Schizosaccharomyces pombe: one gene and its partner. The protein of the gene in region 1 interacts with the protein of each later gene in a pairwise test. Each region holds a gene or a part of one and is shown on either strand. Other genes may lie near its edges.

What was found.
Region 2: the proteins of pfl5 (region 1) and hsp16 interact in a two-hybrid assay, tested with the Schizosaccharomyces pombe proteins (one study listed by BioGRID).

Annotation. Positions count from the first base shown.
Region 1 is NC_003423.3:4,419,276-4,426,214, forward strand, and holds pfl5 (glycoprotein), read left to right. Parts: upstream 1-2,119; 5' UTR 2,120-2,137; coding exon 2,138-5,989; 3' UTR 5,990-6,333; downstream 6,334-6,939.
Region 2 is NC_003423.3:2,659,427-2,662,972, forward strand, and holds hsp16 (heat shock protein Hsp16), read right to left. Parts: upstream 1,567-3,546; 5' UTR 1,496-1,566; coding exon 1,064-1,495; 3' UTR 713-1,063; downstream 1-712. Other genes in the region: SPOM_SPBC3E7.17 (uncharacterized protein), read left to right, coding at 2,370-2,552; ric8 (synembryn ric8-like protein), read right to left, coding at 3,062-3,224, 3,271-3,333, 3,412-3,546.

The DNA of each region.
Region 1 (6,939 bases):
ATAGACACTGATAGATGGGTTACAGAATCATATAGTGAAACTTTAACGTGCCGAAAACACTAAAAGTTATGCATCGAAATCTGAATTTGCCGACGTTATACGAAACATGCTCGGAAGGGTTTTGTCACATCGCGCACTATGACTAAGATTCGAAATTTTTCCACATCTATAAATGTTGCATAAATTTTTTACTTGTAGTATAATTAGAAGAAATGGAAGAATCATAGAAAAAAAGGTTAAAAACGTTGCCATTTTACGTTTTATAGAGTAGGAGCTTTAACTTCTATAAGCCATTCGTTCTCTGCACCACGATAGCTATAAGTTTTTAGCTATTGTAGTGCTACTAAAGATAGCCAATTGTGTTCAAACTTTTAAAAGTACTGCGTAAACAAAACAACAGCTTTTTGCTGTGAACGGCATACCCAATAATTATTTACTAGATTTACAGTACAACAAATACAGATGATGTTTAGCAAGAGATTTTGAATATATCTTTTACAAAACATCATGCTAACAAACTCTTCAAAGAATATTATTTGGAATTAATTTTACCGGCTTCGCATCTAAAATTGATGGGATCTGCCTTCAATATAGAAAATTCTTCATTCACGGAGAAAACGCAAATAAGTATTTTGTTCATAAAATTAAAAAAAAAAAAAAAAAAAAAAATTTGTGTTTCTAATAAATTCTTAAAGCATTATTATAAATTACATTCGTAAAATAAAAAATAAATAAATAAAAAATTAATAATATCATTACTATTGCGTCGAAGGTGATAAAACATATAGCATAAAGCTTAAAATCTAATGACTGAGTTAGCATTATATTTATCATCTAAAGGAAGCAGTATAGCGGTTAAATCATTCAGCTAATGAGACTATTAGTCGTTGAAATATGGTGTAGCTTTGCAAGCCAAATTTTCCATGAAAGAAGAAAATTTTTTATTGAGTTTTGCCGTTTACCCCTTGATTTCTGCTTCCATCCTAATAATCCGTATTCTTAGCTTTGTAATGCTGTGCGTTTTATTTCTATTTTCATGAACGGAGTTTTTAACGTAACGTTACCACCGGAAATTGCGGTTAACAGTAATCAAGTAGACAAAAATTTGTAATTAGGTTTAATTCAGTTTATGCAAATGTAAATCTAACTTCTATTATTTTCCTAAGGTGCTTAATTAAATTAAAGGTAAAAATAATTTGCTTTAGTAAAATATATAATTCAATCTTCATGTGATGAAATGCCTTTAGATTTGAAAACTGAAGATATTGGCTTTCTTCTGGGTTATAATCTCGCTAACAAAATAACGTTAACCTTACTCAAGTTAGATTAAAGTTGTCCCAATTGCAAAACCCTAACGATACCGTAACAACGCTAGATTAGTATTTGATATACGTTTTTACATTCCTTTCCTTATTTTGTATACATTGAGAAAAAAATAATGTATTCCACAAATATATTCGTACAGAAAAAATTTAAGTAACTCTAGTATGGTAGGCACATTATTGAATGAGCTGCATTTGTCGATAGCTTGCGATGTTATACCGTAATCTGATTGTTAATCCATCCCTATTCCTATTTTTATACTGACGGTTTGAATCCGAACTGACATACCAACATACGGTAGTTACGAAAAACCTGAGTTTACTCTTACTTCAACGTAATGTTTTTTTCTGAAATTGAACTATCAAAGGGTCGTGCTTGTAAATTTTTGAATTTTTTTATTATCTATCTTAACGTTTGATATTAAACTTTTGGAGGGGAGAATTTAGTAGCGCTCTTTGAAATATGCTTTTTGCAATCAGCAAAATATGCAAACATAAATTTATACATACACACAAGTACTCTAAAAATGTTTGTATAATTCATGCCTTTTTTGTTAGCTGTTCAATTTGTTCATATAAAAGTAACAGTAGCTCGTGTCCTAATATTGATGCTGAATGTCTACTATACCCCGATTGTTTATTACAGGTATTGTGCCACTATGTTTTCCCGACAGAGGACTATCAAAATTTTAAACCGGGCAGTCGGTAATTGGAAAAAATGGAGTCTGAAGTTGCATTACTTACTTGCTCATATACAAAAATAAAAGAAGTGCTTGTGCCATTATATTTGGGAATTTGCAGCTCATCACAACTTCATGCTAGTGTTTACAGATCTTATTTTTCTCGCTATCTTTGCTCATATTGGGAAGGCTACTGCAAAAGTATGGAACAGAAATGTACAAGGATTTCTTGATTTAAACTTGCCAAATGAATGTTCACAATACACAACAATTTACAGTGACGGCCCTAGTGAATATACTTCAACGTTGCCATACACGCACTCCTTTAGCAACGCAAGTGTATATACTACCTTAATTACTATAACAAACAGTCAATGCACCGGAAACTACTCAACATTGACAATATCATCACAACCTTTAATACATACTAATACTTCCATTTCCAAGCCTTCGCAAACAGCTACACCACAAAACACTAATACCACACAAGTCTCCTTAACCAATGGAACGACAACCAACAGTTATTCTAACACAAACTCCCTGCCAATTACAGATACTATCAATGGAACTACTGAATTAATTATTCCAACAACTAGCTACAACAACCAAAGCCATACTCTTATTTACAGTACCTACACCTCCACCTACCTCCCCAATTCTACAATTGACTTATCTATTCTACCACACTCAACAATAAGCACTCTAAGTACAGTCTCCATAAATGATACTAGCGCGTCATTGTCAAAAACAACTTCACCCACTGCTGGAACTATTACTGAGACGATTGTTTCTGGTTCTGTTGGATATACTTCCACGTTTCCTGCTAGTGGAACTACCTCTGGCACTGTAGAGGTGGTTGAACCCACTGCTGGAACTATCACTGAGACTATTGTTTCTGGTTCTGTTGGATATACTTCGACATTCCCAGCTAATGGAACTACCTCTGGTACCGTGGAAGTAGTTGAACCCACTGCTGGAACTATCACTGAGACTATTGTTTCTGGTTCTGTTGGATATACTTCGACATTCCCAGCTAATGGAACTACCTCTGGTACCGTGGAAGTAGTTGAACCCACTGCTGGAACTATCACTGAGACTATTGTTTCTGGTTCTGTTGGATATACTTCGACATTCCCAGCTAATGGAACTACCTCTGGCACTGTAGAGGTGGTTGAACCCACTGCTGGAACTGTTACTGAGACCATTGTTTCTGGTTCTGTTGGATATACTTCCACGTTCCCTGCTAGTGGAACTACCTCTGGCACTGTAGAGGTGGTTGAACCCACTGCTGGAACTATCACTGAGACCATAGTGTCAGGTTCTAAAGCATTTACTTCCACATTCCCAGCTAATGGAACTACCTCTGGTACCGTGGAAGTAGTCGAACCCACTGCTGGAACTATTACAAAGACCATTGTTTCTGGTTCTAAAACTTTTACTTCCACATTCCCAGCTAATGGAACTACCTCTGGTACCGTGGAAGTAGTTGAACCCACTGCTGGAACTATTACAGAGACCATTGTTTCTGGTTCTGTTGGATATACTTCGACATTCCCAGCTAATGGAACTACCTCTGGTACCGTGGAAGTAGTTGAACCCACTGCTGGAACTATTACAGAGACCATTGTTTCTGGTTCTAAAACTTTTACTTCCACGTTCCCTGCTAGTGGAACTACCTCTGGCACTGTAGAGGTGGTTGAACCCACTGCTGGAACTATCACTGAGACCATAGTGTCAGGTTCTAAAGCATTTACTTCCACATTCCCAGCTAATGGAACTACCTCTGGTACCGTGGAAGTAGTTGAACCCACTGCTGGAACTATTACAGAGACCATTGTTTCTGGTTCTGTTGGATATACTTCCACGTTCCCTGCTAGTGGAACTACCTCTGGCACTGTAGAGGTGGTTGAACCCACTGCTGGAACTGTTACTGAGACCATTGTTTCTGGTTCTGTTGGATATACTTCCACGTTCCCTGCTAGTGGAACTACCTCTGGCACTGTAGAGGTGGTTGAACCCACTGCTGGAACTGTTACTGAGACCATTGTTTCTGGTTCTGTTGGATATACTTCCACGTTCCCTGCTAGTGGAACTACCTCTGGCACTGTAGAGGTGGTTGAACCCACTGCTGGAACTATCACTGAGACCATAGTGTCAGGTTCTAAAGCATTTACTTCCACATTCCCAGCTAATGGAACTACCTCTGGTACCGTGGAAGTAGTCGAACCCACTGCTGGAACTATTACAGAGACCATTGTTTCTGGTTCTAAAACTTTTACTTCCACATTCCCAGCTAATGGAACTACCTCTGGTACCGTGGAAGTAGTTGAACCCACTGCTGGAACTATTACAGAGACCATTGTTTCTGGTTCTGTTGGATATACTTCCACGTTCCCTGCTAGTGGGACTACCTCTGGCACCGTGGAAGTAGTTGAACCCACTGCGGGAACCGTTACTGAGACTGTTATTTCGGGGTCAGTTTCTTTTATGTCAACGATTACTGCTCATGACACTTCGTCTGGTGCTGTCATAGTTGTTGAACCCACTGCTGGTACCGTCACAGAGACTATTGTTTCCGGATCTATTCCGTTTACCTCGACTATCCCTGCTCAAGGTACGACATCAGGAACTGTTGAGGTGGTTGAACCTACCGCTGGTACCGTTACTGAGACCATAATATCAGGTTCTGTTGGGTATACTTCCACATTCCCTGCTCAAGGTACAACATCAGGAACTGTTGAGGTGGTTGAACCTACCGCTGGTACCGTTACTGAGACCATAATATCAGGTTCTGTTGGGTATACTTCCACATTCCCTGCTCAAGGTACAACATCAGGAACTGTTGAGATTGTTGCACCTACCGCTGGTACCGTCACAGAGACTATTGTTTCCGGATCTATTCCGTTTACCTCGACTATCCCTGCTCAAGGTACGACATCAGGAACTGTTGAGGTGGTTGAACCTACCGCTGGTACCGTTACTGAGACTATAATATCAGGTTCTGTTGGGTATACTTCCACATTCCCTGCTCAAGGTACAACATCAGGAACTGTTGAGATTGTTGCACCTACCGCTGGTACCGTCACAGAGACTATTGTTTCCGGATCTATTCCGTTTACCTCGACTATCCCTGCTCAAGGTACGACATCAGGAACTGTTGAGGTGGTTGAACCTACCGCTGGTACCGTTACTGAGACCATAATATCAGGTTCTGTTGGGTATACTTCCACATTCCCTGCTCAAGGTACAACATCAGGAACTGTTGAGGTGGTTGAACCTACCGCTGGTACCGTCACAGAGACTATTGTTTCCGGATCTATTCCGTTTACCTCGACTATCCCTGCTCAAGGTACGACCTCAGGAACTGTTGAGATCGTAGTACCTACTGCTGGTACGGTAACTTCGACTACGGGTTCTGGTACTTCTTGGTTTACTACTACTGTTCCCGCTACTGGTACGAGATCTGGAAGCGTAATTGTTGTTTCTCCAACTGCTCCTGCTTGTTCTTCTACTCCGTTTGCTGAGTGTCCAAATCTAAATTTTAATTTTCATTCTAAAAATGTGAACTTTCCTCCCGCTGACATTAGGGTAATTAGTGTCACACCGAAGGGTAACAATATGTACGATGCTACAGTTCAGTTCACTACTTCTTCGACTATGTCGAAAAAATCATTGAGTGAATTAAAGATATTGGGATTATCTCAAACCTATCTCTTGTACTCATACAACTCTAAAGTGGACAACATTTCTAATCCTGGCAGCTGGACTTCAACGGTAACTGTTCAAGGTACAAGCACAGGTAGCTATATTTGCATGCCTCATTTCCAAATTCAGTATGATTGGTGTAGTGCTGGTGTTACTGACATGTCTGAATGTAATACATGGAGCTATCAAAAATCCTATGATTATATTACCGGGTGCAATAATTACGATAATCAAGGCAATTCCCAAACGGATGCTTCTGACTATTGTTGGAATGTTTGTTAGTTAGCTTAAGCATGTAAGCATCAATTTGTTCTTCTTTGCTTATAATATGCTACCAATTATAACAGCAGCTTAACTTTGTCACATCATTTTTTTTTGATGGATGTCTGTGTGGTTTACTTAGATTCTATACCACAGTTTTGTAAATTATTTGTTTTTTTGTCTTTTTTCTCGGCAGTTGGTTAAAAACTTAAACTGTTGTATGTTTAACTTGCATATGGATATGTTTTAATCTTAATTTTATTCGTTATGTTATATTTAATACCACGTTTTTCTTTTTTCAAAACGGATTTTATGTAGCTTAACCATTTTCTATTTTTCTTATAATAATATTCACAATCTTTTGCTCAATTGTTAGGCAATGATTTATTTAGTGAAGTTTTGATACAGGACTTACTGCTGTGTGTATACACCATTCATGAACTCTGCTTTTCCGAGCAGTGATTTAATAATAAAAATTTACAAAAAATGGACATTCACAGTTTCTAGATTTGACGTTTCATTCTTTCAAATATCACCCAAATTTTTTGTAAAATGCAAAGTATTTTCCCATTCGCTAGTTAACAATTATTCAATTAAATAAATGACGAATAAGCAGCATATCGGAATGTTCAAATACACTTAGGAATGAAATGAAATAACCGCCAGAGAACTTTTCATGACTTTTATATTAAAAGAGGTTTAAATGTGAGGTTGCTTTCACAAAATATTTGGTATTTCGTTGTATTTAATTACAACTTACCAAACGACATTTAGGAGTCCTTTTCATGAGCCTTCATGATAATAACATTTCCATTTTATCGCGCAATAAAACAATTACCAAATTTAGTTAATTTAAAGAATTAACAATTCATAATCCCATTAATTACTAAATAAAAACTTAGATTCGGGTGTAATATGTACCCCACAGTTGCTCAAAAAGCTTCTTTATACAAATAATATGCAGATTATGA
Region 2 (3,546 bases), 1.8 Mb from region 1:
TGTTATATCGAAAAGCATGTACGTTAAACGCAGCTGTTTGATAATAAATACTTTAGGTTTTGGTGTTGATAGAATAGTGTATATTAACGAGATTCGCCGAATTTAAGTTTTACAAAGCCATAGCAATACAAGAGCTTTCGGCTTTACTGTAGAGCTAGATATTATAGCAAACAAGAATTTGGTTTAATCACACACGAAAACCATAACATTCTTAACTTTAAACTGTATGTTGATTACTGAAAAAGAAAGGTACCCTAGGCTATATATTTATGTGTACTTTTTTTTATAGGAAACATTGGATCACCCAAGGATTAGTGGTAGTATGGAAACACTCGCTCAAGGCCAAGGAGATTTAACTACTTTTAGGTTAGCGTGTCCATGAACCAATGAACTAGTAATATAAAGAATAAAAATAGAAAGGAACACATCTATGAAGCCCTTGTCCCTAACATGAAATCACAAAACTTCCGCTTAAACAAACCTTATGGCTCACTAATAAAACCAAAAATTGTTAAGAGCATATTATCAGATCTCCGCAAAAGGAAGACGATTTCATTGCCCCGGTGATTTAAGACTCAAAGAGCATACACAACTTTATGATATGCTAATGTAACTCCTGTTAATTCATTAGGAGCTACATAATACTGTTCTTTTTTTTTGAAAAAAATAAAAATAAATCTACACATATTACGATAGAGCATTTTGAAACAACTTGTTTTCTAATTAGGAATAAAAAAATATTTATTTATTTATTTATTTTGAAAAATTGCTAGAGATCACTTGCTCATCATTGGAGAATCGTAACAAGTGGTAGTCAAGATCATTAAAACACTGTCTGACAGCTGGCCATAAATTGCTTGATGTGGAATTTAAATGCTCTTTTACTGTTTAGAAGACCGTGTTCAATTCATTATCAAAATTCATCAATCCAATGGCAAGCGGATCATTAATTGCATATGTTATGATTGATTGTTAAATCAAACAATAATATATGCTCACAATCCAACAAGATTGGTCTCATAACCATTTCGAAACTATCATATTAAAATCGGAAGAGACGATTTTACTTAATAGCAATTTGTTTCTTAGTTTGGGACTTCTCGACCTTGGGCAAGGTGACAGTCAATAGGCCATTACTGAAGTTGGCCTCAATGCGATCTGCATCAATCTTGGCTGGAATAGTAATGGTACGAGAGAATGAGCCAAAGCGACGCTCTGACCAGCGTTGGTTACCCTCGGTGCTTTCATTCTTTCTCTCATTGACGACTTCGCCAGAAATAGTAAGTTTTCCGCTATCATAATGGACTTGAACGTCCTCTTTCTTAACACCAGGGAGTTCTACATCAACGCTAACAGTGTCTTTACCCTCATGCACATCAATCGAAGGAGACAACTCCCCAGGAATTTGGTTGTTCAAACGAGGGGAGTAACTAACAAAGTCAGAGAACAAGTCGTTGACAGTAGGGGGAAAGCCGAAAAAAGGTTGCAAAGACATTTTTTAAAATTTAAACAATTGCGAGTAACTTGAAATTATATGAATTCAATTCAAATCTGTATTTGTTCGATGCTGGACTAGCGGAAGGAGTACCCTTATTTATACCTTTCTGGGAAGCACGGAATGGGATGGATGTCATATATTGTACGATGACTCGAATTTTCTCGTAAACGTTGTGAAAGATCACGAATTTGCCGGAGTTTGTACTTTCGGAACGGCGTCTTTTGCTAACACTCAAACTCTGTATTGGGTGGACTTAGATGTTCGTTAGTGCTTGCTCTAGAAAAGTCCAAATTTGCCACTTATGCGCCACAACCGAGGCAGATTCAAATATAAACTTCGGTACGCAAGGCTGTGCTATCTTTCTAGAGAGATCTAGAAAATAATCATTCTAGTAGAGTTAGAAAAATACTCATTTCATTGACTGTATATCGTTTCCTTTACCTTATTTTTTTTTTTACTTTGTAGTCAACTAACCAAAATAAAATTTTTAGGACGCATTTAGATTTGTAAATAAACCATAACGTAAGAATTTTTCTTTCTAATCTTATGATTTGAGCGCTTTATTGGCAAAGACGTATTTTGTGCATTCACGCAATTGTTGCTCATGCACTTGAAAACATTTCATAAATCTATAAAACTTATGCGACTTCCTCTTGTTCGTCATAAAATTGTTCTTCTGCAATATCTACGTTAAAAGCATAGCAATATGAATAGTTAATTCCTTTACTTTACACAATTGTTGGGTTAAGTTACGCAAATTTCTGCGATTGTTAACTTTTTAAATATTCAAATAATAAATATATTTGAAGGAATCGGACGTTCTACTGTATCGTCGCACCTCATATTAGATGTTTTTTCCATCATTGCAGTAATGCTCACGGTAGAGTGTTTGATTTACGCAATAAATTTCACAAGTGACTCAATTGGAAGATCCTTAAAATTGTGGGGTACATCCCGTCGCTTACGATTTGCGGAGACGGAGAGTTTTCACAACAAAAAACCTACGTCATTATTTACCCAACATGAGTTTTCCTATTCATGCGCATATCAATGAAATCTATATTATCGTAAAGTCAATTTCGTACAGCTGTCGTTTTAATCTTTAGTTTAGAAAAAAGTAGCTAACTCTCTAGCAAGGAAAATAAATATTGAGGTTTATAACATGATTCAACCACTACATTCGAAAAGCAAATGAAAAATTTACGACGGAAGCTATCGCTCTTTTTTCAATAAACAAACCCTTTCCTGAATTGTTGACAAAGTTTATTATTAATTACTAATAAACAACTATGAGAAAAGATGGGGAAACTGCAAATTATGCCTAATGACTGCCGAATATCATGATATTACTTCCATCTTTCCATTCTGCCGTCTTCTTTTAAGTCTTTTACCTACCGAATAATACATGATCAAAATCTTACTAAAAATAATGTCGTTTAATAACTCATTACATATTACATACCGCATAATGCGAATTGCAATATCCGACGGTTAAAATATAGACATTTACGGTATACAAATGAAGTTTACCAACTCACTAGACAATGTAAAATACACGACGTACTAACTTGCTTTGCTAATTTTGATAAAATGAAGAATTTCATGAAATTTAAAAGTGGAAAACATTAACAGTAAAATATGTATAGGTCCAACAAAACTATGATAACAATGATATATGAAACTCTCCGAACTCATTTGAAAAATAAGACAAAAGACAACGTCTATACTTTAGTTTTTTTTAATCAGAATCATTATCATCCAATTTCTCATACAAGCCGCTATTTACAGCTTGTTGGATAGGATTAGTAACTTGAATAGTACTATTTTTTTCCAAGCTACCAACGTCAGCCAAATATACTCGAGACATATATATGTATTTTTTTAAAAAAAAATAAATAAACAAACAAACTTACCGTTGAAACAAATAGAATAATCTTTCTGCTTCTCGCTCTTTCTCTTCTTGGCTTAACTCAAGTCTTTGAGATTTATTTCTATTTGTGCACATACTCCCAGTAATAGGATCGATTGCAAGGTTATTTTCTTCAGTA